Styela clava: one gene and its partner. The protein of the gene in region 1 purifies or fractionates together with the protein of each later gene. This does not show direct contact. Links are inferred from orthologs where the notes say so. Each region holds a gene or a part of one and is shown in the gene's direction. Other genes may lie near its edges.

Evidence for each region.
Region 2: the proteins of ubiquitin-like modifier-activating enzyme 6 (region 1) and ubiquitin carboxyl-terminal hydrolase 48-like fractionate together in Homo sapiens (co-fractionation; 3 studies listed by BioGRID, with this or other methods). This does not show direct contact. The link is inferred for Styela clava from reciprocal best matches to the Homo sapiens genes UBA6 and USP48.

The regions. Positions count from the first base shown.
Region 1 is NC_135254.1:14,425,390-14,441,949, reverse strand, and holds ubiquitin-like modifier-activating enzyme 6, read left to right. Parts: upstream 1-9,241; 5' UTR 9,242-9,291; coding exon 9,292-12,447; 3' UTR 12,448-13,447; downstream 13,448-16,560. Other genes in the region: parafibromin-like, read right to left, coding at 2,215-2,345; DDB1- and CUL4-associated factor 17-like, read right to left, coding at 13,821-14,011, 14,841-15,026, 15,415-15,684, 16,058-16,202. UniProt on the Homo sapiens protein: Activates ubiquitin by first adenylating its C-terminal glycine residue with ATP, and thereafter linking this residue to the side chain of a cysteine residue in E1, yielding a ubiquitin-E1 thioester and free AMP.
Region 2 is NC_135260.1:11,603,485-11,619,635, reverse strand, and holds the start of ubiquitin carboxyl-terminal hydrolase 48-like, read left to right. Parts: upstream 1-9,548; 5' UTR 9,549-12,266; coding exon 12,267-15,542; 3' UTR 15,543-16,151.

The DNA.
Region 1 (16,560 bases):
TACCGTAAACGCAGGTAACTTCGGATGGTTTATAACTTCGGATGAAATTTTCAATCGTTTATATCTCGACTAAATTACGTCATATTCTGCTTCTGGCAGTTTCTATAAAGAGTCCTTATATATCTTAATCTCTTATCATATTCAGTCGCCTAATAGGATTTATTTTTTGACACAAAAAATCACCTTTTTGCCAAAAATTGACACCTCGCTTTTGAGCGGCTAAAATAGCGACTTCTATCGACGCTAACTTCACTAAAAGACCGTCAATCGCTAGAGGGCATACACAATGTACAAGGAAAATTACAGTGATCACGAGATGTCGTACGAGATTCAAGTAAAATATATTATTTTGATTTAAAAATTTCGTTAAAATATCGACGTTACGGTGCTTACGCTGAACGTGACGTCAACAACGTGATTCAATTTCGCTCCATTTAAGGCCGACGTCACATTGCGTAGCTCGTGCGTAACTCGCTGCGACATTTGAACGCCAGACTATGTGGCGCCACGTGTAGTTAAATATAAAGTGAAAACTCCTACCTGATCCTCGTCACCAAATCCTACAAAAACTTAATTATAGCCCCGGTCATATGCTGTTTATTTATTGTGAATCCGATTAATGCACATTAAATTTGTGTGTTAACATTTCGGCATTCTTCGACCGTATAGATGTTGTTGATACGTAAGGCTGATGAACAGCCAGATACGCGTATCTATACTATCACAATGACAAGGTTTTACGATCGGCGATGATAATATATTAAGAGTAGAATGTTGCACAGGTGAGCATGAAACTCTGCACAGGTGCACACAGCAGGAGATTGGAGGTTTTTGGCGTTTTTATCCGTTTCATGTCTATCTGCCTGTGAATACATTATATCTGAATTATCAACACGGCCACAAGCTACACTGTTCCATATTGTTGTCCACTTTCATTTTTTTTACTTTTACTACCTACCGTAATTCATCATCCATTTTTCTTTTTTATTATTTTCATTCGTTTCATTTTTGTTTTGTATTAAAAATTGTTTTCCATTTTTACCTTTACGACTTATTTTATTCGTCCGTTTTTTATTTTCATTTGTCCCATGTTGTCTCATTTTTGTTTCGTATTGAAACGATCATAATAGCAAGATATAGCACTTTCATGAAATTAAGAATAGTCAAGAGATAAATGGTTTAGTTTTGCGAAACGTCAGGAATAGGGCTGGGCAAAATTATTACATGCGTTGTATTTTGAAGCATTTAGCGGTAATAATTATGGCGCGACACTGTCAAAATCGTCGAGTAAAGTGCTGAGTTCGCAAATTCCGCAGATAAAATTGTGAATTAGTCGGTAACGGTTTTAGCTATAATAACCGTTGAGGTATTGTTTTGTTCAAAAAAAAAGTTAAAACTTGAGGGAAATAGTTATAATTAGTGTCCGACCCGCTATCAGGACCAAAAGCCTTATGACAAGTATAAATGCATAACGGCCGATTTATTCAATCATTATTATAAATAAAAATTCAGTATTCGCACAATCGCGGGTGCAAAGCATAACAACATCAATCATCGTCTTAATAAATATCTCCATCTCGGCGACGATAATAATATCACCGTTCGCTTTAAACTCGAACGATTAATAGTATACAAACGGTGATAAGTAAGATCAAAGCCAACACGTAAGATTAAATCAGAACAAAATTAATTTGGGTTTTGAAATCAGTCCTTCTTGTCTTCAAGAGCTGTTGCCGATGTAAACACACGGGTACACCAGATATATAAAACTTTGATGTCCGCCGACCCGGAAGAATTAATAATCACAAAAACGGCCGTCATAGATGAACGTCAGTGTGCGACACGCAAAACGAATCACGGCGTCGTAAGTTCTACGCAGCGACGTTATCACGCGTCACTGATCACGCAGACATTTCTCTCTCACGACGAAGTGACGCAAAGCGAAAAGTGGCCATCCGAAGTTATAAACATTTGGAATACAGATCGGCAGGCAAATAAAGTCAATAATTTGAATGAAAAAAAGTATTGATTGATATGAAACCGAGTTTATCGCGAGGAGAAAGGCTTCAATGTATTATATTCCAAGTTTGGCTTCAATTGAACAATAAACGGCGGAGAAATTGTTCATAATATAGTGAAATCATCCGAAGTTACCTGCTTTTACGGTACCTTCCAGAACAATAAGAAATGAAAAATCAGTAAGTAGTCACTCACCCCCAAATTGGATAATTAGTTTTTATATTTTTGGGCCATGAGAAGTCTCCGAAAGTGATATAGCCATCACGTTCTTCAATCTTCTTCTTCGCCATATTGTATTCTCGTAGAATGCTGAGAGCATCTGCCATTTTGACAGTTGAGTGTCCAAAGCAAAAGAATTTACTAATTCTGGTATTTTACATATGATAAATATTGTTTAATAATTCTATAATTATCAGTTTTTATGATATGATTTATGATAATTCTCTCTAACAAATTGAAAATAAATGTTACTACAAATCTTACAAACGAAAACAGAACTTCATTACTGCATTATGCTGTTAATAGCAGTGTTGTGCGTGAAACCATACCGGTATGGTAACTACCGCAGGGTCGCAATATTTGAAAAAGCAAAATTCCGGACAGTTCATGACCTCGTAGTAAAAAATATGCGCCCGGTACGAAATAACAATGCTCTTTATTAGCAGTGTGCACAGTACGATTGCAGATGCAGTAAAATTCCGGTTTTTAAATTGTTCCCGGACGCAAAATTTGGGTCACGTGTAGTTTCATACCTAACGTACTTCTAGTGGGTGTAGCATAACAATTTTTTGATATGTCAATCCTACGCCATCCAAAAATTACGTCACTACGACATCACAATCACGTCATAGAGCTTGCCAAATATACGTACAGTCACCCGAAATGGCATTGGCGCCGACTATAAAGAACTGACTGACGTTATCGATCTCTCTCCTATTGGAATCGTTGCGACGAGAAAACGAGAGAAATAACTGTTCGATTTCGGGTGCTCGTTTACGCGTCTTGGATGGGCAACCCTAAAATGCGGGAAACGGGAAATGCACCAAAATGCGGGAACGACGGGAAATTGCCAAAACTAAAATGCAGGAACTACGGGAATAACGGGAACTACGGAAAATTTCACTAGAAAGCGGGAATTTCACAAGAAGCGGGAATGACGGGAAATCGCTTTAAGGTATAGGCCTCGAGCCTTGGCCATTTATCTTTCAGTTTCAGTCCTGTTTCTAGAAATAATATTGCCTTTGTTCAAATACCTAACCACGTAAACTGAAAAAAAGACTAATGCAGTGGCGGCGCGTCAATAGAGCCAACCGGGGCAATGCCCCGGTTGTTTTTTTGGTATAATAAAAAATATTCGAAAAATGATTCCGCGCGGCGGTATGGCTCAACGGGCTAAGCGTTAGGAATACGCTCGCCACCGCACCTCTAACTACTCTGCGTGGGTTCGCAGGTTCGAATCCCATGCAGGGATGGTTATGTGCGAGAGGATTGCTGGACTCCTCGCCGTCGTTGGGTGGTTCACGTAACCGCTGGTCGGTTACGGCTTCCTCCACCACCAAGTCCATGCTTCCGAAAACAAACAATACAGTAAATCTAATCCCATACCCGACTTGGAATGGTAACCGGACGAGAGGCCGTGGTTCGCCATATGGATAAGCCGTCTTATCGGCTTTCCTCTCCCCCGGGATAAATATGTAAATCCTATCCTATCCTAAAAATACCACAATATCGGTTGCACAGACTGTCTACACTAGCCATATTCTCCCGACATGGTTCATTTTTCGCTCGCAAAGCCTTCGCCGAACGTCGACGGGGCGACGCCGATTTTGCCCCGGTTGCTCATTGTATATCGTATTCTCTCTTTTATCTTCCACTCGCCGCGTTTGTCTCGTTTGTTTTCTGTTTCTTTTACTAAATCATCGGGGCTAGCCCCGAAATTATGACGACACAATGCCGACGTTTCTTACAACAACGTGTTGACATATTCACGCATTCCTTCTCGTTTGTTGGTTGCTTTAAGAGTTGATAGTTTCCTCGCCTTCGTTTTTGTCGCTTGTTTCGCTATTTGAATCAGTTAGAGACCTTTAGTCCATTTGCTTTCGATTTTCCACATTCCTTTTGAGCTCCTCATTTCTTTCCGGCTTCGCATTTCTTAGCCTCAGACCTCATAATGAATAAGGTTGATGCACTACTTCGCACTCCGTTTTCGCAGCTGCCGCTGGAACAAAAATTAGAGGTACAACGTCCTAGGCCTTATCAACCAAAAAATTGTTCACTGGAACAATCCCATGACGGAGGAACGCGTCGGCGTACATTCTGCGCAGAAACTTGGTATAAAAAACACGAATGGTTGTGTTACAGCGAGGACAAAAATGCACTTTTTTGTTTTTATTGCCTACTTTTTGCTACCGCCCGTGACTCACGTTGGTGTAAATTTGGTTTTAGAGATCTTAAACATCTTTCCGAGCGTGCCAGGGATCATCAATCTTCTATGGAGCATCTGGACAATGCAGTAAAATACCGAACATTCGGAAATGTTAATATTGCAGCACAGTTGGATGAAGGACGCGCGGTTTCTATTCGTCGGCACAACCAAAACGTCGAGAAAAACCGCCATGTTCTCCGTCGATTGATAGATGTTTTGAAGTTCATTTGTTGTCACGAGCTGTCCCTCCGTGGGCACGATGAACGGGCTGGCTCTTCTAATAGGGGTATTTTTGGATATGGTGGAAAACACCGCATCCCTAGATACAGTATTGAGAGATCATCTTGATGCCGCAACTGTTTCGAAAGGAACATCTGAGGATATCCAAAATGATTTGATCGACTCAATGTATAAAATTTATTTACAACATTTGGCTCTGGAAATTGAGAATTGCCAGTTCCTTTCGATTCAGTCTGACGAGACAACTGCTCAAACTTAAGACGGCGCGGCAGTCATGAGTGGGTCGAAACATGGTGTTCAAGTTTATATAAAAGAAGATTTTCCTCATGCGCATTTTTTACATTGTTATGCACACCAATTTAACCTCGTTATTAAAAATATGTGTCTTGATACCCCTCTCGTCCGTATATTTTTTGCAAATGTTTCGGGTTTTTTTCATTTTTTTCCCGTTTCGCCGAAGCGCTCTGACCTCCTTCGCCAGATATGTAGCCGCCGTCTCCCAGCTTGTGCACCAACACGTTAGAACTTCCAATCACGCGTGGTGCAGGGCGTGTCCGAAATTAGGTCTGAGCTCATTGAGTGTTTCAATGGCATTCAGAGCTCTCCGGTTTGGGACGAACGCTCTGTGAGGGAGGCGGCAGGTCTAAAGCGTCTGCTAGAAGATGGTGAGTTTTCATTTTTTCTCCACAATATTCTATCACGTGGATGTATTATACGGCGCATTGCAGTCAAGGCTAATGGATGGAGCGTCTGTGCAGTCGTGTATTTCATCTCGTATCCGGGAAACAATAAAATACGACGACACCTGGAGTGCTTCTTTACGCCGCGGGCAAACAACGCAGCGTTTGATTTTGTCTGCAAAAGAATGCTGTGACAATGACGGGGAAGTTCTTATCGTTAGTCGTCGGTTCTCATGTATGTGTTGTAAACTTATGGTTATTGAATTTCCGGGAACCTCTAATATTCAATTTCGCATCAGGATTGGGGAACAAGCTGAAGTTCATTTTCAAACAAAACTGAAGAATTTATTTATTTACCAGATGTGCGCTACAAACTCATTTCTGGACGTTTTCAAGACTTCGTCTCACGGCCCATATCCGTGGTAAGGAGCTACAAGTGTTTAATAACTTACTTATACATTTTTCAACAACGTCTCAGCATAACTTAACTAACAAGAGAGCTATTTTCAAATATATGGACACGTAGCGCTACCCAGTGGGAATAATTTTGATGACGATGAAAAAAAAGTAAGAGCCTTCTGGAGAAAATTATTGTCTTCAACCACTGAAAATTTCAAAACCATTGGTCCAGTATTCGAAGAGAAAAGCGATTTCTTCAAAACGTGTCAAAGAACAAGGACACAAAGAACAACAACAAAATAATATTGGAACGATCGCTATGTCCACTACGTGTCCAATAAAAACTAAACAGCGCTATGGAAAGGCTGCCCAACCCAACGCAAGGTCGAGCAGTAATAACTAATATTCACCCGCTCGCTAACAGCTGATTCGATTCGATTGTTACGTCATGCAGAAGTCATTGTTCATTGCCGAAAATGTAGAGAATATAGGACAGATCGTAGCACATATTTCTTGTAGTGAAAGCGTCTTTTCCGTAAAACGTGCAATTTTTGGAAGTGGGAACAAGGCAATATTTGTTACTAAATTTTTAAGGAACATTTTAAAATCATTTCCAGGTAGTTATACCTGATGTGCGCTACGAAACTTACTTTCTAGGCGTTTTTCAGGGCCTCGGCTCGCGGCCTAAATTGTGAAACCTTTGGAACTCCGCATTTGATGAAGCGCATTTCAGGGACAATTTCGCCATTCTGAGCACATTGATGACGACCACTCAAATATGACGCCATGATATGAGGATGAGTGAACTCCCTTCAATACCGTAGTGGCGTATATAAATTCGATCGATACTCGGGGAAGTCCAAATGTTATGTAGCTGAGCAATAGGCTATTGTTACACACTAAATATTGTATTTCATATGATTTTAATAATAGACACTCCAAGAGACTTAAAAAAGCCAAACGGAAATTCAGACGCCAAACGTGTTTGAAAAAAGCCAAAAATGCGGTTAAAAAAGCCAATATGGCAACCCTGCTACCGGCGGACTATTTTGATTAGAAGATTCCAAATTCCATTTATATTAGAGTAGACAATTCACGCACAAGAAAGTGAACACATCCTGTGATCGCAAAATGACCTATTTAGGCAATGTAACTGCGTTGAAAGCCTGAACGGAGAATTTTATTTTAAAAGGAGAGGATGCAAACGAAGTTGCGTTATGATCAGTTTTTATCCTTGTGCCATGGCCCCAATTGAGCTGCTTCGTGGCCCCTTTGAGGGCCTTCGGCCCCCGGTTGAGAACCACTGTTCTACAGCTTTTATAAACAAAGCGATGCAAGAAATAATGAACAATTAGCGTCATTTTCAGCTTCAAAAAGTAGAAGGACAGATGAGTTCAAAAAAGATTTTCATTTTAAACAAATGGCAGTTGATAAAACTAGGCAGAAGCATGAACCTCCCTTCTCTCTCTCAATTTTCAGGCATTTAATTTTTTGCCTCATTTCAGTATCAACCTTTTCCGTCGTTTCGGACTTTTGTGCACTGCTGATATTATATTACACCATAGGCTAGAGGTGAGCAAATTACGGCCCGCGGGCCGGAACCGGCCTACTGGAGTGTTTCATCCGGACCACTTGTGCCTGCTGAAATTATGAATATTGTTTTTATGGATATAAATTTCCGTTTAAAATATCGATGAAATAACGGATCGTCGGCTAAAGTAAATAACGTAAGTCCTCACGGATCATCAGTACTGAATATAATGTACAAAACCATCGATCCAAATTATTTATGTCATTCAGAAACTCTAGCTCCCGATATATCAGCATTTGGGCCTGCAAATTTTTTCGTGTTTTCCTAAATGCCGCGAAACGCATAACACAATGGGCAAAAAATCCATAGGGGAGGGAGGAGCGATTGCGCATACTCGGTGAGCAAAATAAATTTAAAATCGGTCATTGTTTTCTTCAGCATGACGTGGGTATTTAAAACGTGAAAATCGGCAAACTATATTCCGGTGAATTACATCTCGCAAGTATTCCGCACGACCTGTTGAGAATCTCTTTCTATCAACTTTCTCTGTGCAGCTGCCGTAATTTGCCAACCCCTTTAATGAAGTCCCATTAATTGATTTTGATCATATCGATATCATCATCGATCATATCGGCCCAGTAACCAAGTCTATTATCCGCATTCGGCCCACTCTGGAAAGTAATTGCCCACCCATGCCATAGGCCACTCCCTACCAAAGCGTATGCTCCCGACCAGACTTGATAGATAGATAGACTTGTTCCGCTTTTGCTGGCGACGTCACTTTGGACGACTGTTTCTTTGATTTCTTGGATTGGTAGGCTATATTTTCATCGAACAGGAATTTTACCCCCGTGTGAAAACAATGAAAAGTCAAATCTTTCAAATAAATAAATTACGCAGCCAACGGCAGAACTGTACAGGCAGACAGGTACGGTACAGTAACTTTCAATATCTCAGCGTATGCTTTGTAATCTAGTATTTTTTTTATCATGGTGCAGAGGCCATAAATATAGCTGAGTCTAACTACTGAATTAGACAAATTACTGAATTAAAACAATTTCTACTTAAGAAAGAAAGGAAAATAGAACTGTTTAAGTTGAGTTTCTGCGCATCCGGAGCGTCTTTAACCTTTATCAGTTTTATGGCAGTATGCTGGTATGGCTCAATACATAATACAGTACAGTAATAAGGTAAAAATTCAAGTGTAGCAGTCTCGATATTGAAATGTTAATAAACTGATTTAGAATATCAAACAAATAACATATTCTGTATTTTTTCAATCGTTATTAAACAAATACTGGAATATAAGCAACAAACAAGTAAAACATAAAAAATATTGACTATATCCAGATATCGGGCATTAGATTAACACATAATACAATGAAATACTGTTTTTATTCAAAATGACCAGGAGCGCCATATGTTTTATCGAAAGAATGATTTCTTTGCTATTTGAAAAGTGGGTTTCCTAATATGTTATTACATATACCTGTAGATACAAATACCAAAATGCTTTTATAATTTTTTACTATTGTTGACTGATATTTTGTACATTTGAAATCTAAATATTTGTGTTTACTCAAATAATGAAAACGGAAATGCATTGAAAACCATTCATTGCATAATTTACTGTGAAACTTATTGCTCGTTTTATTCTCTGACTCTTACTAATATGAATACCTAGTTAGAAATTCTATCTTCTGATCTTGGAATAAATTTTTATTTCAAATGTTATGGATGGATGTTTAACAGCTTATTGATTCAAGTTTTCGTGATAGAATATCATGATCAAACAAAGCAATTTTAGTTCTTAAAAACATTTCGTAAATAATATAAAAAAAATTGAAGGGTGGATTTTCAAATTTATTCTTCATGATATCATTGATTTCCAAATTCATTTAATGAACCAAGTCTAATTTCCTAACTAAAGAAATAAAATAGATGCTTCAAGCTCATTAAAATTGTTTTACAGTATTTAATAGCTCCTTTTGGTAATTATGGCTGACAAAATGGAAATTGATGACTCGTTATATAGCAGGCAACGCTATATGTTAGGTGATAATGCAATGAAGAGAATGGCATCAGCAAATGTACTTTTATTAGGATGTGATTGTCTTGGCGTAGAAGTTGCAAAAAATTTGGTTCTCACTGGAATAGGGAAATTGTATGTGGCCGATAGTTCACTTGTTACAAAACGGGATATCAGAAACAATTTTTATGTCAGTCAGTCGGATTTGCAAAATAAGAAAACGAGAGCAGAAGCTTGTGTGCCACGCCTTGCAGAACTTAATCCTTACGTCCAAGTCGAAGTTTCAACTTCGGATGTTCATATTGAAAATGCTGCATTGGGTGATGCTGATTCTCACAAAGAGTTTACAAAATTTCTCGAAAATATTGATTGCATAATCGCAACCCAACGTAGTCTGCCTCATCAAAAGTATCTCGATAAATTGAGTTGTAATTTGATGGGTCAGTTAAAATTTGTAAGTTGCAATGTTTATGGTGTATTTTCATCATTGTTCTGCAACTTTGGGAAAAATTTCGAGATTCTTGATTCGAGAGGAGAAACTTTGAAGGAAATGTTTGTGGGAGATATTACTAGAAACAGTGAAGGCACTGTAACGTGCTTAGAGGATCAGTTACATGGATTGGAAGATGGTGACAGTGTTTCTTTTTCTGAAGTTGAAGGAATGGTGGAACTAAATGGACAAACTCGAGAAGTACGGGTCGTGTCACCATATAAATTCACAATTGGGGATACAAGTGATTATTCACAGTACAAAGGTGGTGGTTTGGTAAAAGAAAAAACTAAAAAATCTACGATATCCCATCAATCTTTAGATGAACAACTCTTAAAGCCTGACATATTGTTGACGGATTTTGGGAAGATGGATAACCCTGCTATTTCCCATGCAGCTTTCTCAGCTCTTAACTCATTTGTAGAATCCAATGGTAATTTACCAAAGCTATGGAACAAAAATGATGCTGAAGCATTGTTTACATTATTCACCAATACAGTGAATCAGTTTCAAATTGATATTCCAAATGATGAAAATGCCAAGAAAGTTGTTCAATTACTTTCTTTTACTTGTAGAGGAGCATTATCGCCTCTCGCAACTGCGATTGGTGGTATTGCAGCACAAGAGGTTTTGAAGGCTTTAACTGGTAAATACACCCCATTAAAGCAATGGTTGTATTTAGATGCAACTGAGCTGGCTTTTAATCTTCATCTCACACCCGAACAAATGCAGGAATCAGATGATTTAAGTGATGTGAAAGCATGTTTGGGTGAAACAGTGGAAGCACGTTTAGCGAAGTTAAACATATTTATGGTTGGATGTGGAGCAATTGGCTGTGAAATGTTAAAAAACTTTGCTTTGTTGGGAGTTTCAACTGAAAATGGGAAAGCTGTGATTACAGACAATGACGTCATTGAAAAGTCAAACTTGAATCGTCAATTTCTATTTCATAGTCGCCATGTAGGACAATCCAAAAGCTCTGCAGCCTCTTTGTCAGTGAAGGAAATAAATCCTGACATAAAAATTGAGCCTTTGCAATACAAAGTTCAACCCGATTCAGAAAATGTATTTAATGATGCTTTTTTTGAAAGTCAGGATATCGTAGTCAACGCTTTGGATAATGTGGCAGCAAGAAGGTACATGGATACAAGATGTGTTGCAAATCAACGTCCTTTATTGGAATCTGGGACGATGGGACCGAAAGGTCATGTGCAAATCATAACCCCTTTTGTAACGGAAAGTTATGGATCACAGCAGGATCCAGCAGATGTTGAATTTCCTTTTTGTACGTTGAAATCATTCCCCTCAAACATTCAGCATACAATACAATGGGCGAGAGACAAATTTGAAGTCATGTTTAAACAAAAACCAATGACGTACAACAATTTTTGGGAAGGGTGTCAAGTACGTGAAAACGGAAACAAAGATAACATCATAGAATTGGTCAACAAGTATTTAATGTCAGGAAATAATTTAAGAGATGCCTCTGTCACCTTAAGACTTCTATCTGAAGCACCAACAACTTGGTTTGATTGTGTCGTTTATGCAAGACGAAAGTTTGAGAAGTTGTTTAATCACAAAGCAAAAGATTTATTAAAAGCCTTTCCATTGGATACTATGCTGCAGGATGGATCACCTTTCTGGTCATTACCTAAACGTCCACCTACCCCGATTATCTTCAATCTCGAAGACCCATTCCATATGCAGTTCGTCATTAGTACAGCATCATTAATTGCTGCTATATATCGTGTGCAACGTCCCATTAGTCAAGAAGAGATTGCCAAGAGCATTGCCGATGCTATTGAAAAAACAGTGGTGCCTGATTGGGTACCAAGTACAAAGGAAGTTGTAGTTGATGAAAAAGCCCCAGCACCAACTAAGACAGATGAAGATTCACCCGAAGATTTAAGTCAAAAGCTTATGCTTACTGCTAAAACACGTAGTGATTTCACTTTCAAGTTATACCCAGAAGATTTTGAAAAAGATGATGATTCGAACCACCATATTGATTTCATTTCTTCTGCTGCCAATCTAAGAGCTAAAATGTATGGCATTGAAAATGTGGATCGTCTTGAAATAAAGCGAATAGCAGGTCGAATCATACCTGCTATATCTACCACCACTACTGCCGTTTCAGGTTTTGCGACCATACAGTTTCTGCAATTGGTAATACAGCTCATTAATAATGAAAAAAATGGAACGAACTGGTCAAATTGTGCTTCAAATATTGAAACAGAATTGTCTAAATATCGTAATTGCTTTTTAAACCTTGCATTACCGCTTGTGTTATTCAGTGAACCAGCTGCTGCTCAAAAAACAAAATTAACTAAAGATCTCTCCTTCAGTGTTTGGGATCGATGGGAGATTCGTGGCAACAAGGATTTCAAACTAAAAGATTTCATACAGCATTTTCATGAGAAATATAATCTCACAATTTCAGCAGTTGTACATGGCTCAAGAATGATTTATATACCAATCATGCCTGGTCATTCAAAAAGATTGGATCACCTTATGACAAAGCTCATTAAAATTGGAGACAAAAATACACTGTATGTTGATCTGACGGCAACATTTGAAAATCCGAGTGATGATTCAGATGATTTGTCATGCCCACCGATTAGATACTATTTCTAATTTCCATTCTGTTGAGTGTTATTGCAATTTTTGTGTCCCACAATTCAAGCTATTCTATTCTGCACTATATATATATCGTATGATTTTCAAATGTTGTTTTTTAATAGTATAATTGTTTTAATATTATACTCGTCGATTAGTGTCATTGTTATATTATAGACTGTAAACACCAGTGATATTTAAAAGATTTAATTGACTTCTTTATAGTTTTTTCATACACACAGAAGTTTTGGTAATCCATGTAATTTTGCATAAAGAAAAATACTGATTTACAATATTTGATAATCGATATTAGTGACTTCAAAGAAGGATCAAAACCATGATTTTAAATTAGACTGCCGATTGCCTTTGGTGTATGTATTGGTGGTCAAAATTGATTTGCCTCATTTGAATATATACAAATTGGTCCAATATTTGTATGGTCAACTGTAGTGGTTTTTGAGAATGCAATATGAAAAAATTATCATTCCCAATAATACAAATGTTGATTGAATAACTCTTAGCTACTGAAAGATTGTGGATAAGTAGCCACCTTATTGTGAAATGAAACATATGCAAGTTCAAATAAACAGCCAAGCTCTATATGGATTTGGCTTGATGACATCACATCCTGGGATTAATGTGTGGTGAACTTTAGCAGATCCTATGATAAATCTGTTATTCATATAATTGTTCTTGCTGTCCAGTGTCTTCATTGCAGTTATTTGTGTTAATTTATACTTGCTGTCATGCAAATCGATCACTGTACTTGTGTTTATCATGGCTCGTATTAGATGTATTTGCATTTATCATCCATGTTTATAAGTCACGATTATAAAATTATTTTTTTGTATGCTTATATCAAGTTCAAGAATTTTTATTTCGACTTGACACGTTTTCCAATTACCAGCTGATTATTTTTTGTCCAATTCAGCATTTATCAAAAAGTGAATTATGCGTTGAACAATTGTTGAATAAATAATGTGCATTTTATGATTGTTTGCACAAGTCTGAGAATGTACATGTATATTTAAATGAGTGTCATCTGCAGTGGGATTGTCTGTTGGAATAGTTGACTTGACTCACTATTATTAGGATAATCTTCTCAGGGGAGAGAGGATATTCTTCTCATCAACGTGCTATGTTCGTTCCTCCCATGGTCCAATAGAAAATGGGTCACTTTTGTCCTAATCTACACCGCTTTATTTAAAATTCACCTAAACGTTTCCAGTCCCCATTACGGTAACTCTTTTGGAGTCCATATTCAAATCGCTAACCGAAACATCAAATATACCACGAAGCAATTGTCGCCCAGATAATTACGGAGCAACGCCTTCATACGTCCGTTTTATTAAAAATGATCACAGTGAATTCATAATATTATAAAAAATAATTCAATATTTCCGACAAAACCTCATAATTTTATAGTTTGAAGTGTCATTCATTTCAGTCCTTGTGTATATCACAGTATCCTCGTCCAAAATAATACTTGCTTCGCAGTTATCACTTGGCACAAGATCTTGTTCCAAAGTAACAGTGTTTATTCTAGCACCAGTAGCATTGTCATACAATGAGACCACCAGATCTGCAATCGAAATATTCATAATAATTGCACACATATTTGAATTGCGTCGCTAGTTTTCCACACACACAAAATTCATATATTCCCATTTTGCTGGTAGGGTACACCCAGTGCTTTTAACAGATACTGTTGATAACATTTGGTTTCAAATCAAAATGGCTTATCATAGGCTTTATAACCATACGCAATAAATATGAAAGGTAAAAATTTCAAATTAACATTAGATACTAAATTTTTAAATGAATAATAAACATTATATGCCGATGGATTTCACTAAGTGTATGGACTAATAGAAAAATCTGAATGCGAAAAAATAATTAGAAGGTTAGAAGCTGAACTACTAACATTTCAGGTAACTTGTCTCCAGCTTCACTAAAACAATATAGCTCTCTCTCCCCAGCCTAACATATGAGTTGTCATTAATATACTGCCAGAGTAACTTTTTTCATTGAAAACTCTAGTTATGTTGAAATCTTTACCAGTATAATTCTTGATAGCTTTTCATGAAATTTCATTGATCACTAGTGACATACTTTGAAGTGAGTTTACTTTACCATTGAGTGAACAAATGGGCCAAGTATGCGTACCAAGATGGTAGACAGGTAATTTTAGGTACAAATAATACGGGTCGCTTGGCTAGTCTCCAAACTCGTAATAGAACTAAAATAAGGAAAATTGTAATGAAATTATAACCTAACCCTAATCTGGTACACATACTTCAGAGTACCAGCAAATGTGACTTTGCTTGGAGCTAGCTAGCTCACATGGAAACTCCACAGTGAATGGATGGATTTATTCACAGTGTATACTTCATATTTAATCACATACGCACCATAGTGTTTGTTTCCAAAACTGTAATATTCACTGCTTGTGATTCCTCTGAAATGAAGTACAGCTAGAACATCCAACTCATCTTCATATGAGACGCACTGTATGCCAATCACAGATTCAGTTTGATTGTAACCAACAAAGCGTCTGGTTTGTCGGAGTGTCCGACCATAAGAAGACTGACCATTTTCTGTCACATATAAAAAAGAAAATTAGATTTATTCATTTGAATTTGGTTTATTGTCAAATGTAGACCTGAATCATGAGGAATAAATAGTTTATTCCTCATGTCAAATGTAGCCTAACCCTAAGTTTGTACACATACTATGTTCCGGTGTCCGCCATCTTGGTTCACATACTACGGGAGGGAGCATCCAAGTGTATTTCTATGCTTTTTGCACTGGACAAGTGGCCATCTTTGGCTAGGAGCTGATATAGTTGCAAGAACCGGAAACTTTCCGGAATAAACAACAAATCAAAGCATTTCAATTTTAAAAATTTCATATTCCTAGAACAGGAAATAGTTATAGATAGAGACTACCCAAATACAGCGCATAATGTGTAATGTACGTATTTACCTAAATTCGGTGTTTGTGATGGATATATCCACTTTTCTGTTTCTTCGGGTATATCTGCGGACTTTTTATGAGATACGTCTATTTCATAACATTTTGTTGTTTTGTGTTTTGAAAGTTTCTGTCTTTTGACATTCGCTACTGTGTGTTTACAAGGAGATCCAATAACTCGTAATTGAAAATCCGGTTCAGATATTGAGCTTGTGTTGAGTAACTGAGTTGGACTGCATTTCTGTTGTTGTCGATGCGAGTATACTGTTCTGTCTGGCGAACCTTCAAAATCAGTAATTATATCACTTCAGTAGGGAAACATAGTACATCAAGTTTGAAGGGAAAAGCAAGAGGAAAATTTTATTATAAGTACAGGCAGTCCAATTTGGGGTTTATTTTTTCCAGACATCAAAAAATAGCAAACATAACTAAGAAAAATGAAACACAATTTTAATGGAAAGGGGAGGTCACACAGAATTAAAGCTGGTATCGCTCACTGGAGATCATATGACGTAGCCACTCATCCCACCACTGCCTAAATAGGCTCAATTGACACATTATCTAAAATTCGCTAGATAAAGGTAATCACACACAGACACCAATACAAGTCCACACATATGATACAAGTACCCCAGGAAATGACAACAGAACTTACAAATAGCCATCCGTTGCTTAGCATGCCTTTCTTCCTCAATTTTATAAACAGTTACTGTATTATTATTAACCAACAGTAATCGTCCACTCTCATCTGAATGGAAATCAACTCCAGCAACATGGCTTTTATCCCATTTTTCATCCACCTATATGTTGAATGTTTGAAAGTAACATAGATTAGAAAAGTTGAAATAACAACAATTAAATTTCCACCACAAAAATCAAATAGTATTGGCTACGATAGAAGAATGATATGGAGGAAATTTGAAATTGAAAGCCTTAGAATCTTGGCACTCAAATTTCTAGTTTTCTATCCTTTATTTCACAAAACCAACAAGCATGAGGATAAGTTATCATAATTATCCCCGGGAATATGGAAGCTGACAAAACAGCCTATCATATGGCAAGCTCCAATTTATCGTCCGGCTACCAGTCCATGTTGGGTATGGGATTAGTCAGTTTTTTGTTAAGTAGACTTAATGGTGGAGAAGGTCGTAACCGACC
Region 2 (16,151 bases), on another chromosome or scaffold:
AACTAACTCAGTAATATTAAAATTTTTTAAAACAGTAATTCAATTTACTGCTGACGGTGCTGAGGATTTTTTATTTGAAGCGTTTATCTTTTGGATTCAATATTTTTAGTATTAGACTGACAGTTTTATGACTTGTTTTTCTTATGATTACTACTTTATTTTTTAACATCAATACCATCAATAATTTACTCAGATTGGAGTTTTGTCCCTGCATAAGGCATGTAGGCAATAAAACACTACTGATCCATACATTGGGCAAACTGGCTTATAGGCTCTAAAAATCTTAGAATTAAATTATACAGATTTTTTAATACAAGGCCCACTCAGGTAATTATTACTTGTTGGCCATTATTAAAACCTATATATTTCCATAACCTCAGCAGATACCATCGCCTTAGGCATTGGTCGTCCGGTCGTAGATAACAATCAGTTAGTTTATGCAAAGGAAATAGAACGAAATCGTTTGTAACTTTGTAAAAAAATGGATATGAAGAATGTCAAATCGATTTTGTTATGGCACTGATTAAATTTTTCTATTCGATATCACTCTAATTTGCACATAACATATTTCTCTAAGTTTGTTTTGTGTCCCTGTTTGGCTTTTGGTGTGTAGTTATTAACTTTAGGTATGTATATGATATAATATTTTCATGGCAAATAAGGTAATATATATTATAATCTATTATGGGGATTATTAATAAGCCATTAATTTTAAATAAAATTCTGCAAGACCCGAAATGTGCCTTGGCTAAGAAAAGGGCCAATAACAGTCATTTCCAATATGATGTGATGCTTGGTCTGATACTTTTTGAGATAGGCGAAAAAATATTGCCTTTAGTGACACCCTTCTATTATTTATCTTCATTGTATTATTCTGAAAGCATGAAAATGTTTTGATATGTGGTTGTTAAAGGGTTAATGACCTCTCCCCGCTCCAGCAGTTTTTTGTTTTCTTATTCTGGCCTGCGAGACGCGCTTTACCGTACAGCGACAAACTGGCGAGCGACGAGTGCCTTTATAATCCCCGTTTTGTAATTCTTGTTTTGTAGAAATAAACAACATGTCACGATTTAGTGATTTCCAATACGTAAAAAGTCAGCCATACTATACCGAAAGAATTTGTAACAGCGTTGAAATATTCTTTTTATAATATAACATATAATTTGTAAATATTATAATATGGATCAAGGGTGATGTGTACGAGTCGCCGGCTTGGTCCGATTCCTAAGCGCTCTGCCATAATCAAATGTACACTTTGAACATTTAAAATGCGCAAAATTTTCATCCCAGAGTACGTCGCTGATTACAATATATTGGCATATATTGTGATATTGTGATCAAACAAGAGAACTCACTATACAAATGTGCTCCATATGCAGAAATATCGAATATCTATCCACCTGATTTGTACGTTTTTGGCTAATGGCTATGGCTAATTGATCTTCCCGGCGGTAAATACCACGATACGAAATGTTCAAGAAATATCAACTCAACAATTAGAACTCGAATATTTGATGTGTTATGGAAAACCTCCTCAAAATACCTTACTAAGCCCAACATGGCATTTCTCGTTGGCGCCAGTGAATTTGTACATAGTTCGCATTTTATAAAAACACGGTCATCTGACAAATAGTTGGATTAAATGTAAATGATGTATATACACCGGCCTAGTATGGGGTTGAAGCCGAACGCGATTTGAGTCGCGATTCATGCTTTCCAGATGACTAGACCTTCTGACAACAATATGAACGTACCATTGCCAGATAGCTTCCGTACCGTTTTATATCAAGGATGTAGTTGTGGTCAAAGCTAGTTTTTATATTTTTGGTCCCGCCTGTCCGACTGATGACGTTGTCGACCGCAATATTTGGTACTTGAGTGACTATTAATAGTCGTACATAAATGTCTGCTGCTGGATATGACATTTCAAAAATCCATACTGTTAAAAATTTATGTTAGATTTATTCTGGTAAAAAATGGATTGATATTAACTTTTGCTTTGTGTTATAATAACTCAGTCTAATTTGCGTACTTGGTATTAACATCCCCCATCGCCATTTGGTGTACATGGCCCCGCTACTGTTTTATATGTAAACATACACATAAACCTAGTAATACTTTGTTGAGAATTCAAAGTTGCCACTTTAGAGATATTTTCGAGTAAAATAATACACGCAACATGTAGTGTGTCAACACCACAAAATAGAATCGTTGTAGTCATTTATTTCAATATGAAAAGTAGTCTTTTCTTTGGTATTAATAACAAATATTTCTTAGTTACGAGATACGTTGAATATATTTTGCAAAATAAATTATTTTGCACAATTTTTATTTGCTTCGTTGATTTTGCAGTCCGTAGCATATTTGTTGATTTCAATTCACTATGAAGGATCGCTTACACTCGGAAAATGTTCATGAAACCATTGGTAAGACGGTGCGTCGTACCTTGGCGCCATTCTGACACAACATTCGTTCTTACATCAACGCGATCGTATTACGCCTGCTAGAATTTTGCTCGCCCGCAGACGAATGGTTTATTCCGGCCGACAATCACCATAATCTCTTTTCTTAGTACCGTAATCTGGTTCACGTTATCTAAGATACCGGTATGTTTTAATATTAAACGAATATTATACTTTATTATAAGACGCCTACGATTGAATGTTAGCAATTCAGAAATTATTAGGGGCAGTGTTTTCGTCTGATTCATTTCTGAAACTGTTGAATTGGTACGTGTATGTATCACATTGGTACGTGTATGTATCACACCAGTTTACATGATTAGTTAATGCCAAATTTTCATTACAATTCATCAGACTAAAATAATAAATTTACCATTCAGTGTATAGCATACTAATATCGGCCATGAACTCTAATTGGGGCGTTCAATTTTAAATACCACTCTAGGTGTTCTAACTCTTAACAGCAAAAAGAATTTTGTATTTAACCTTACATTTAAGACATTGATATGTTTTCTTGTTGAGAAATTATAGATTGATAAATCGTACTGGGGCTCTAACCATGTGATGTACTTACATATTTGGTCAAAATCTAATGAATTATTACTCGGAATACATTTTAATTTTCTTATTAAAGTATCATTTATAATATTTCAAATTTGATCCATTTCGATAGAGGAGAATTTTCTCAATGAACTGAACGTTTATTTTGTCTAAGCACTGGAGCAGTACGCAGCATCAGTTATTCGAACCATAACGATAATAATCTAAAACAAAAAGTGCTTCCTATTTTTTTTCTTGGTTCTAAACCCATTATCAAGGCAACCTAAATGTGATCTAAGTATGACCTGGACTAATTTACATGAACTGCGTTGTACAATTCCACTTGACGATGATGAAATTCAAATTATATCTTCGAATTGCAATTGTGAAATGAATACTGCGTTTGGATATCAACATGATGCAATTCGCAATACAATAATCCAATAAATACATAATTTGATTGCCACTTGCCTGCCATTACTTGGCAAGTTCAGGAAGTCTTCACTTTTGTTGTATTGCATGTTAAGTTAAAGGTACAGACAAAATAAGGAGAATTGTTTTAACAGTTATTTTGTCCATTGCCGCCAGAATGCAAATTGTTACTATTCAAGGTCACAATTACATATCAAATTATTAGTATTTCAAGGTCACAATTAGTTAACCAAGCAGGACTTTGCGTCTGCTGCGGCGTCGGCTACATTCTCGATTTGTCGCTTCGTCGGCAGACTGGTGAATGCGTCAATGACATTTCCTTGATGCAAAATGTAAATTCTAACACCCGGGTCCGAATATGCTATTACAGTGGCTCCCAACTTTTTTCGATAAATTCCTACGTGCGCCTAGTTTGGATCTTTCTATTGCGGATTTTTTTGTTGAGAGCCCTCGCAACTAATGAAAAATGCGAGATTTGAGGTTTCGGTTTGGACTGATTTGAAAATTTGAATTTCAAGCGCAATCTGTATTCCAATCCCTAATTTTTTTTAATTTCAGTGGCGGGGGTGTTTGTTGGCGGGGTCTCTAGACGAAACATTTTTTATTTCTCCCTCACTACAACAGTTCATGCCAAATGCTTCGTGTTAAATCTATGAATAGGATGTCAATTCACTGTCGCAATATGGTTCATGTCACTGGCTGGCATCTGGAACGAATATTTAATTGGTTACATTTTTTTACATCCGATCTGACTGGTAATCGTACGAGGAAGCCAGGTTTATGGAATAAGTAGTTCATGTTGTTAGCGTCTGTCCTCGTCCCTATTAATTAAACTAATATCTTATATGTAGCAAGATAAAAAAAAATTATCCATGAAATATCCTAATAAATTATACCCAAACTCGCTTGAACTAATCGATCACTCAATGTTTCCTCGTCGGTTTATCCTGATTTACTTATTAAACCTTAAGTGGCGTTTGCCGGTGTTATTTTTATATTGTATACGTGCTTTATGTCAAACAGCCATCAGATCGAAAGCCAAGTTTGCGACTATCGGGCACCGATCTTGTTATTTGCAAAAATCAGTGAATGGTACCTTATTTCGAAACGACAACTTTCAAAAATGCCAATAAAATTGCTAATTGTGGTCATTGATATAAATATTGATATTTCAAAACATAACTACTCATCGTCGTTATGTTAAATATGTATGTTATCAAGATTTTTCCTCTCGTCTTTGCTAGCTGAATAATTCTGTAGCATATGAATTCATCGATATTTTGTGCGGGAGTGGTATGCTTTCTCAATTCAAATTATTCAGCGAACATTTACTGTTGTACCGATTTGCCGGTTATATTTTACTTTCGCCCCGCCGAGCAGTATAAAATTAAAATTTTCTCTGAACGAAGGCTATTGGGCGTCTTGACTGTCGGTCTCTTAATTCTGTGTGTCCGTTTTCGCAGAAATGTTTGTGCAATGTCCATTAATTAACGCTCTTTATGAGGCAAATTTGTCTTTATCTTCTTTTCTGAAAAACTGACTAATTTATTATTAATGCTAAACACGATTCCGACAATGGTCGGGGCTGGGCATTTTCGAATACCTAATGATTTCAGAATCTAATCGAATCTCTAATACTTTATATATTTATTATTTTATTATTTGAGACAGAAAGGGCCTAAGTCACATTTTTTTGAAATTTCACTTTTTTCAATATTTTGTGGTTTTGAGCCATGCTCTACGACCTACGTCTACAAGATGGTGGTCTTGAAATCCTGAATTTCTCAATAATAAAATTTTTAGCTGGACTTAAGACTGTAATATTTTGTAGAAGTTAAGAACAGAATAGGTATAATTTCCAATATGATGGATATGGACATCAGAAATAAAATATGCGAAACTTACATCCCTAAGAATTTGTTCAGAATTGCATTTTAAAAATATGGAAAAAAAATTGCGAATCCACCTTGAAACAAGATGGCGGCCATTCGAATTTTTTTCTGAACCGATTCGAAAATTTAATATTCCATTCGATTAAAATAGTCGATTCAAAAGCCTATCTCCAACAATAGCTCAATGTTGCGCTATGCATTACTACACTATTATATTTCCGATTACATTCAGCGTTCGGAAATTTACACGATGTGGTAAAGATGTTTACATGTGCTAAATTGTTTTTGGGATGTTTCTATTATTATTCATTCAATTTTTCTGTTTCCACTGTTATCCCTTCACTTTACTAATTCGCTGAATTTATGAGAATATTATATTCAACGCAGTTTTGATCTTCTCCGTCGAACGATTTATATAAATTAGTGGTCAACATTATGAAATCGTTACCACCTTAATTTGACCACCTGTTATTAGATGAAGGTGCAATTCAGAAAAATTGAATTAAAGTTATCGCCAATCTTTTATCATAACTTTTATCGAATCGAGTTGTCTAGAAAAATATTTAGGAATTTATTTTGGTTAATATTTTTCAGAATCTCAATTTGTTATTCTGTCGATCGAACAAAATTTAAAAAAAAAAAAGTAAATTCGACTATTACGTCACAAGTTGTGATGTTACTTTGTACAGCTTGGACGGACGTCAGTGGTTCGCCACACACGCCCCTTTTGGCCCTCGTCGTTTTTGCTACCCTTACACATACCTTTTGTTAAATTATTTGGCCGTGTTTGGAACTCACTTTGTTTTTGCGCTTCTTAGAAGTAGAAAACTCATTGCATAGTTAGTATTCTATTTTTTTAATGGGTCCATTCTTAGACATCTTTATTCTTTTATAATCAAGATTCGGTCGTGTCTTTGTCAGTCACTCCCAGTATCGTATTTCCTGGTCTATTGTTGTCGCACCTGCGATTTCAAAGATCGAAAGAAGACTTTGATTGCTTTTTTATGTCCCATCATGCTCGGTCTATGATAGCAATGCACGATTTGGGTACGTCTTTGGCTTAGCCCGGTGGTGCGCTGAAATAAACATGGGGCTGTGGTTTGAAAACATGTTAATTTGGAATAGTAAACCAGTGTCGTGCGTGTGGCTGCTAGGTAGCTTGAGGTTTGGCGTTTTGCAGGAGATGTTTTGTGACGAGTAACTACGTTTGCACTTTGCAGAGTTTTTGGTATGTGGCGCAGGTAAACGGGACCTTGTATTTTTCAGTCTTTATCAAGGATATTACGATTTACCAAAGTATAAGGTTTTTCTGAATAAATGACGCGTATAAGAATTTGCCATTTTCGGTGAACTGTTATATTTTCTGGCAACAGTAGCACATCGCTCAATCTGGAGTTGTCTTTAGGAAATAACATTTACTTACGGTTACGGCGGTACTTATGTCCGGATAAGCGTTGTTTCAGTTTTGGAATACTTTTCAAAATGAAGTCATGTTTCTTTGACCCGAATATCCGATATTTACGAAAGACAAATTTAGGTCCGTTGTTGTAGTCATATCTTTTATCGTATTCATTTAACTAACAGTAGTATACAGAAATGCCTATAAATGCGGAAAATTTTTATTGCGTGGCGTTTTGAAGAGTTAATTTTGAATTAAAATTCGAAGTAAATGAATTTAAATTGGAAATTAACTCTATTTTTGTACAATTGGAATCAAAGTGATTTGTGGATATCACTTATAAAGGGTCACGGAGGTTTGATTTACTCAATGAATTTTGACCATTTTTTGACATCTGGTTTGAAATTTTGATATTCAACTGAAATATCATGACAAACACATTTGTTTAAAAAGCAGATGAATCACTTTCAATGCGGTATAAATTTGGCGCCGTTCTGAAAACCCAACAGCGTGTGTCCTTACAATTCTCGAGTATCATTAGTCTTAATCTGATTTACATAACCATATCGCTTATAGTTGAAATGGATTCCTTGTTAAATGGAAACAATTTTTAACTTCGATTTACGTTTATTTATGCATGGGCTACAGATATTTCCCGACGCACGGCGAGTTATTTATGACGCTTACTTGATAATTCATTTTATGTCGATTGAAATTTTCCAGTCGGATAAAATATGTCCATTGTGTCAGCTTTAGGGCATTAAGAAATCAGTAGGCGCCAATATTTTTTTAGTTCGGGAAATTGTAACGATATATGCGGTCTGCACCCAGACTAATGTCCCGCTGCGAGGCCTGCTGACGCCGCCTAATGTCATGTTTTGATATCGCTTTGGGCTGAGGTGGGAATTGCGGAAGGGCGAGTTTGAACATTTTGATTAACGACAGAACAACCAAGGAGTGGAAATATTTCCCACACATCAGTGTTTAGTCTTATGAAGTCATATTTATCAAATATACAATTCCCTCCGTTCAAGTCTGCATTTAACAAGTTCATGATTTCAATATACTTCCGAGTTTCAAAGGAACTCACATGTTTTCGAAAAAAATTTCTGTTGATATTTTTCGTTAAATTGTCTTGAGTTTCATGTTCGTTATAGCAGACGGTGATGAAAAATGTAGTAGAAATATTTTTTTTCAATTCCCGCACATGTCAGTCAAAGTGTGTTGCTTATTTCATTTTCATGTAGTCTTGTCGGAATAGATGATCATGTATGCCCATCATTTAACACCGAAGCGACCATGTCCTAGTTTTTTATGAAAATTGTTGCCAAAACGGAATTATTATTATTGAATATACCTACGTTATCATTTGTAAATTGTCACCGTTTAAAATACAGTATTCCTCAAAATTTAGAATTCCGTGACCTCCTTTTATAGACTCTCAGCATCCTACGATGATCCAGGGTCTTATATTGAAAATTAATTCCAAACGGGTTTCCATAATTTCTTTTGTTCACTTTGTTTAATAATAAAAAGCCAACAAAAGAACAAATGTAATAATGTCAAATAACTAAACAAATCACAGTTGGTTAGAAAGAAAAAAATGCAATCATCGCATATGGTATCTATAGTGAAGACCTTTGACACCAGGAGAACCACTTCGTGGCCCTTGAAGGGGTGCGAGTGACCAGTTTGAGAAACGCTGGTCAAATGCTTGTTGGATAGGTTTAAAAATGTCAATAAGACATTAGAATTTTGGCTGTTTCCTTATAATCGCACCTTCGTTTGTCCCCGGCAGATTCAGTCGTCAAAAAATTGTCTTTTTTGGTTTATGACCTACGTTTTGTTTTCCGCGGTTAGCGGTTTCAGAGAAAAGACGTGGAATGACGGAAGTGGATATGATCCGAAAAATTACAACAATGCGACCAACGACTCGGAATTACGTTACCGCGTATTTACGCACTGTTGCTTATGAAAGAATATAGATTTTTGTCTTATCTGATTTTCGTTCGTGTTTGTATATGCAAAGTTCAAAGATACGAATACGATAGAATTACAGTACCCATTTTGTTTTATTGTTTTGTTTAAACACGAAGGGTTGAAAGTTGTGAATTCCTTCTGTCGAAAGTCGGGAGTCGTTGAAGGTTTTACATCGCGTCGGAATTGGAGTTTTGGATCGGAATTTCTTTCTTTTATGATACTGTGAATCGAGGTAGGAATGTTCAGAAACACAAAAAAAGAGATTAGTTTTTTTTTATTTCGTAATTTAAAATTCGTCGTCAGAAATTATGAGTTTCTGAATGATTTTCCTGATTTTTTTTCGTTTAAATCGAATTGTTTAACCAGTTTTAACTAGGTATTAATGAAAATTCACAATACCTATCATATTATAGTATAAAATTCACATTCACTATCGCCGATTGTTACTTTACAGTTGACGTTATTTGCTTGCGCTTGGTCGGTATTTTGTGAAAAGATGGTAATCGTTGTGAACATAACTTTGATGGGAGATAGTGGATAGAATAGAATAGTGCTTTATCTTTTTGTTCGCTCGACATCTGGTCCAGTCTCCGTCTGTCTAATTATTTCGGCGTTTACAGTTCAAGTTTTTCTTCCTTGAAATCGAGATTCACATCCGCTCAAAATTGTGATATTTTCGTCGCTAAAAATTGTTTTGGTTTAGAAATCGGTATACCTTGCATATGTTAGGTTTTTTTAGACATGCGGTATATTATGGTTATTTGCTTAACTTTGAGTAGGAAATTAACTCAATTTGAAGTCATGTGTATAATATACTTTTGTATTAGAAATACAATGTAGTCAGGTCAGTTGGCGGCTGCTTTTGTACAATGATCAAGATATCGAAATTTCCGGCGCCAAACAACATGCTATTAGCTATAGATAGCGGTTACATCGTCTTCCGTTTGATAATCGATTGCCGTGGGCATTTGATGGACCCAAATACGACAAATATCGTATGTTATGTTTACTACGCCAAATCTGTAGTACCCTTGGCAAAGATAGATATTTGTCATAGTTCAAGCTTGGCAATTAATTGATTGGAAATTTAAAAACCTTTTATCGTCAGACTTGCTAGATTGAATTTACTACGAGGATCTGGGTGTCGGGGGTCTGTTTTATGGCCTTCTTCCCATTCATAAATTTGTAGTCCTGGTTCAGTGCAAACAGCTAAACACCAGTTTTAAAAATCAACTTTCCTACAACGCAATCATGATCTATAAGTAATCCCGCCAAAATGAAGGATCTGACAAGCTTGGCAATGATATAGTTGTTCTCGTAGTGACGTCACTTGCTCGTCGCGCCGCCAGTAGATTGATTGGCGCCATGGCGAACTGCAGGCTTGTCTGTTGTCTTTGAAATATTAATGACTTGAGTGGATTAAAGGTCTCGCGCTTCGCGTTTACACGACGGCAAGATAGTCAGAAAGACGAGTTGTTAATTGCATTAACAAACGATGATTCGTTTGAATAATATTTACAATTGTATTTACAATAGTCGGTAATTATTTCTGTTGAGCTTACACGCAAGACATAAGCTACGATGTTCGTCAGATATACCCCATTCATTCTTATATTTTAGAACGATAATAATGTTTAAAAATTGAGTACCTATTAATAAATTGTAATATATAAAACGTTACCATATTTTGAAAATGAATTGTGGTAGGGAATTTTGAAATATCTGTTTGTTTGTACATGAATATACACATATGCTCCTAATTTTTTATTACTAGCATTACTATTATCAACATGGATCGATGGTAGTATTACCTAAAATGATTTTATTATAAGGGCCTAACCCTAAATTTTTGGAAATTTCTTTGCTATTGTGTGTTGAAACAAGACGGAGATTTTGCATTGTTTACCAGCTTAATATATTCATATTAGTTTATCAAGAGTTTTTATGCAAATAAGCCAAGGAGTTTTCTCATATTATGTTCATTTTTGGTTTTAACAGTTTGGTTTTTATTTATTTTTGCAATCTAAAATTTTCTTGCTTAATATTTAAGAGAAATTATGTTGGAACATAATTGTCTTGTTTGTCAATTTTAGAATTTGGAAATGTTGTTAAACATCGCACTGCGGTTATAAGGCCGTGTATAGTGGTTTCATCTGGGCATGAGAAAATGATATTTGATATATTGAAACAACATTAAGATGAAATCAGTTATGAATGTAGCATAATGTTAAAACAAATAATTTTGTTGCTTTTATTGTGAAAATTAAAATTTATTAAAATATACCGGTAAGCATTTTACCGTTCAGTCGGTCAACTCCATTATCATCAACTTCAAATCAGCTTCAGCCATTAGAATACATTCATTTATGACCAACCAACATTGATTTTTTATGGACTGTACCGCCATACACAAAACTACTTTCAAGTTAATTTTTCCCATTATTTTTTGCCTCTTTGTTCATATTAGTACATTTTTATTAAAATTATTTTCAAATTGCTGCATTATTTATTCAAATCGTGCGTCAAAACACCTTTTCAAGCACACATAATTTGTTTTGCTAAGGTATTTAGATATAAGAAAATTTGTTGTGCTCAGAATGAATCATAAAATTGCAATAAACAACTTGTTTTATGTTATTAATAAAGGATTACTTGATTTTATAACGATAAATTTGCTTTGTTAAAGGTGTTTCCATGGTAAAGTATGAATAATATTAACAACTTGAACGATATTTGATACCAAAGAATGTGTGTCATGTTACATATTGTGTCAAACTATTATGAGTTTATGAAATTGATATCAAGCTTTATCACATATGTGAAAATTTTCAGAAGAGAAGGTTAAGATGATAGTGTATTAGAGTCAATGAAATGGCATCTGCTATTTATTTATTAATATTCTATTAGATTAGATTTGCTTACAATAAAACAAAGTCCAGATTAATTTTTAATTATTCAGCTTTCCCTAAACCTACATGATTATCGTAATTTTCGAACAGATACTTATATATTGTTTAAATCTACGGCTTTATTTGAATATTTTTATCATTAGGTATACCTTAATGTGTGATATATTTGTTAAGTTTTATTTTAGACACTAAACTAAATGAATTGGTATGAATTAAAAGGATTTACAAATAGTGTAAAATGGATATCATGTGACGCATCTTTCCGATATTTAAGATAGAGTCAATTCATTAGAAATGGTGAAATGTAGTAAAATCGCCACCACTGCGACATTTAAGTGCTATTATTTGATTTGGGTATCATATTCATATTTTTTTATTGCTATGACAATCTGAGTTGTCATACCTTCTGTTAGAATATTTTACAGTGTCAATATTCGTAGTTTACTAAAATTTTACGATGTTTTTAAAGGGTGGGTAGATATAAACCCAAAGTAAGTCGATGAAAAGTGGATTGTGGTTGAATCTAATTGTCATTTTTATCTTTTTGCAGAAAGGAAGTTGTTGAAGGTAAATAGGCAATAGAAAGGTTGTAATTTTGGAATGTGGGCAAGTCTGTTCTTGTACCCGACAAGAGGTCCGACGCCTCGTTGACATGGGTAAAAAGACAATTTCAAAAGTACCCGTCAGCAAGTTGGTGTGGCAGTGGACAGAGAATGTTCCACCTGATCAGATAACTGATGAACATTTATATACAGCCTACCATCTGAAACTGGGTAAATGCAACGCATGTCGGAAAAATTGCTCCAGTAATCCTATTTGTCTAAGAGGCCTTGGCGAAGGTTTCTGGCTTCGGGATGGTAATTATCAAAATGTGTTAGAAGATGATGTCAAGGATATAAAAAGTGGAGTACGAAAAGATGGAGATTTTGTTGGATTAAAAAATCTGGGAGCTACCTGTTATGTTAACACTTTTCTGCAACTATGGTTTCATAATTTATCTTTTCGTCGCGCAGTTTATAGTTATAAAGAAAACGTCACTGATGATCAAAAAGCCGAAAGTAATTCCAAATTTCCACACACAGTGTGTGGGCATCTTCAATTATTATTTGCCATGTTACAATGTGGTAAAAGAAAAAATATAGATCCAACATCTTTTGTTAATTGTCTTGGATTGGATACTGCTTTGCAACAAGATGCGCAAGAATTTTCTAAACTTCTGCTCAATCTACTTGATCGTACATCAAGTGTTGGGAATTTTCTTTGTCACGAATTTTGTGGCGAATATGACTACTGTACTACTTGCAACACTTGCGGTAATGTTTCAAAGTGCCCCTCTAAATTCTACGAACTGGATTTGTCTATACAAGGACATAAAGACGTCATTCAGTGCTTAAAGGAGTTTTTCAAAGAAGAACAACTCATTAATGAAAACCAATATCACTGTGCAAGCTGTGACTGTAAAAGAGATGCCTCACGTAGGATTGTCATTAAGGAATTACCTCGAACTCTTAATTTACAGCTTCTGAGGTTTGTGTTCGACAAAAAAACTTGGAACAGAAAAAAGCTTTCTAGTTTTTTATCTTTTCCTGACACACTTGACATGTCAACATTTGTTACATCTGATAATGTAGCTGCCATTGATGCAGTTTATGAACTTACAGCAGTTTTGATTCATCGCGGACCGAGCGCGTCTTCAGGCCACTATATCGCTCATATTAAGGACTCTACGACACAGTTTTGGCACAGATTTAATGACGAGGCTATCGAGAAAATGAAAAGTGGCAAAAAATTGGATTTGGATGCATTAACTACTGATGATTATCAGGCAGATATGCCTCAGCCAGCAAAAAAGCCAAAGCTAAATAAAGGCACACACTCATCAAAAGATGCATATATGCTTGTATACACAAAAAAACAACAGATGTCATCTTCCATTGAGTCACCTCCTGGAATACCAGAGCTCGCGAAAATTACTGTAGAAAAAGACAATGCTGATTTTTTTGCTTGTATGAATGCAATGATAATAGAAGCTGAAAAAAAAGCATCTGAAGAAACAAAGAAACATTCTGTGATGGGAAATCTTCTGAAACAAATGGTTGATATGGAACAGGCGGAGCTACTTTCAGATTGCTATTGGGTACCGACAATGTGGTTAAAACGCATGTTAAATGTAAGCGCTGGCGTGAAAAATAGCTTTTCAACAGATAAAATATTTTGCACCCATAAGAAATTGGATCCACACAAGGTGGGTGGGATGAAATGCATTCCGAAGATTTTAGCAGACCACCTATTTGAAATGTACGAACAGGAAACTCCCCGTATCACAAACCAAATGCTTTGTCTTCAATGCGTAAAAGAACACTGTTTTTCACTTCGTCTTAAGTCAAGTTTAAAAGAAGATCAAACCACTGTCAGTAAGCTTTTGAAAGACTTTTCTTCAACTGAAGAGAATGAGTATTATTATATTGGTCGTTCTTCATTGCAATCCTGGAAAGCAATGGCAACAAGAATTTTCGAATTGAAAAATCGAAATAATCAAATTATACAGACAGTACAATCAAATGAAGACAATGATGAATGGAATAGAAGGAACGAAAATGAAGATAGTTTTGAAAGTAGTGATGAAGACTTTAATTTTAATGAAGATTTACTGTGTGAGCATGGTAACTTTACTACTGATTATAAACAGTATCGAAGGGTGTCTTCATCAGTGTGGAATATTCTTGTTAAATATTTTCCTGATGCTCCCGTATACAAAACCTCAAGTGCTACGCCTTGTCACATCTGCAAAGATAAAGAATACGATGCTGAGCAGGCTGCAGAACTTAAGAAGATGGTGGCTCATGAACAGAAGTCTTGCCTTCACAATCTTTTTCTCAATAAAAACAGACCTAATTATGAAGATTTATATGCTATAAATGATTCTTCATTTTATATCGTTTCTGCTGAATTCGTGCGGAAATGGAGAGAATATGTCAAATATTCTTCAAAAAACGAGGTAGTGTCACAGGTACAGAACAAAATATTGATATGCCCTCATGATAAGTTGCTATGTGATCCTGTCATTTCTTTAAATAACTTTGACAATTATGATAAAGATGATATAAGCACTATGTTACTTTGGCCAGAAGAGTGGGGTTATTTAACAAAAAACTTCATTGTGGATGTACCAATATCCATAAAGAAACATATCATGGTATCGGAAGAACAGAATGGGGTAAAAAACCATGAACAGTGTGAAATAGAGCACCAAGAAGGTACTATTTTAAAAGAAGTGCCAATTGCTCCATCCTCTCATGCAACTAATATCGAATCTAACAATAATGTTCCTCAAGCACCAATAGAAAACGGATCATCAACTGAAATCAAGGTAAATATTACTCCTGTTGTAATTCTTGATCAGATTGTAAATGAAAAATCAAGCCTCAAAGTTGTACTTCATTTTACACCCGAACTCTGTCAAGATTGTATTGTTGGCAGAGCAGTCCAGAAGGAACATAGTCTGCGTAATTATACTGATCGTGAAATTTATATTAAAAAAGTGATTTTAGACAAGATGAAATCTTGGAGCAACGAGTTCAAAAAACCTTCTCAAGAAAACTGTGTTCGGAAAAGTAAGAGAGCTCATACAACTCCAGGGGGAAAGAAAATTACAGTGTCTTCAAACTGGACTTTAAAAGAGCTAAAAATCAAAATCATGCATATGTTTTCTGTTCCACCATTTGATCAGAATCTCTGGCTTGAAGACAAGATACTAACGGACAATAGTGCTACACTTGGTTCTTTGTCAGTGTTACCGAACTGTACCATTATATTAATAGCTGATGAACCAGATGATAATGCTCAAGAAATGTTGCCTGTAATATCTAATAATGATCAAGTTTTAGAAGAAGGATTCAAAGGCACGAGCTTGCTCACTAATTCTTGAATTATTTGGTATTAATATGTGAACAGCATTCCATGTAACCAAATGTAGATTTGGTCATTGCCTCTTAGTGGAGCCAAATGAAAAAAGGTGTACAATTTTTCACTGAAAGTATTTTTAAAGTGAAACTATATGGAGCCCTCAGTAGTGGGAAATTGTTCAAGAATTAACTTCTAGGTGTGGTCAGTAGTCCTTGTATTTCTTATACCCCACTCTCTTGTATTTCTAATATGGCCTATTTTTCATACAAAATATCATTACAAATTTAATAGATCGAACATTTCTATATATAAAGGCAACAGAATAAATATTGGAAAAATTATAAACAATATTGGTAATGATCTCAAATATTCTGTTGGATACGTGAAGCTGAAATTATCCAAATTCTGACTTTTTTTCAAATTGTTTGTTTCATCTATTGATTAATTAATATTTATTTGCAATATTTGGTAGAAAGTTAAAAAAATATTGTTATGCTAATGTGCAATTTAAAGTTCTAAATGAACTTGTTTTAATTGAGTTTTTTAAATCGGCAACAAGGTACCTTTGTTTGCAGTTCATTGTTCATTTATTATTACTGTAATTATTACCCATAGTCAATTATTATTAGAC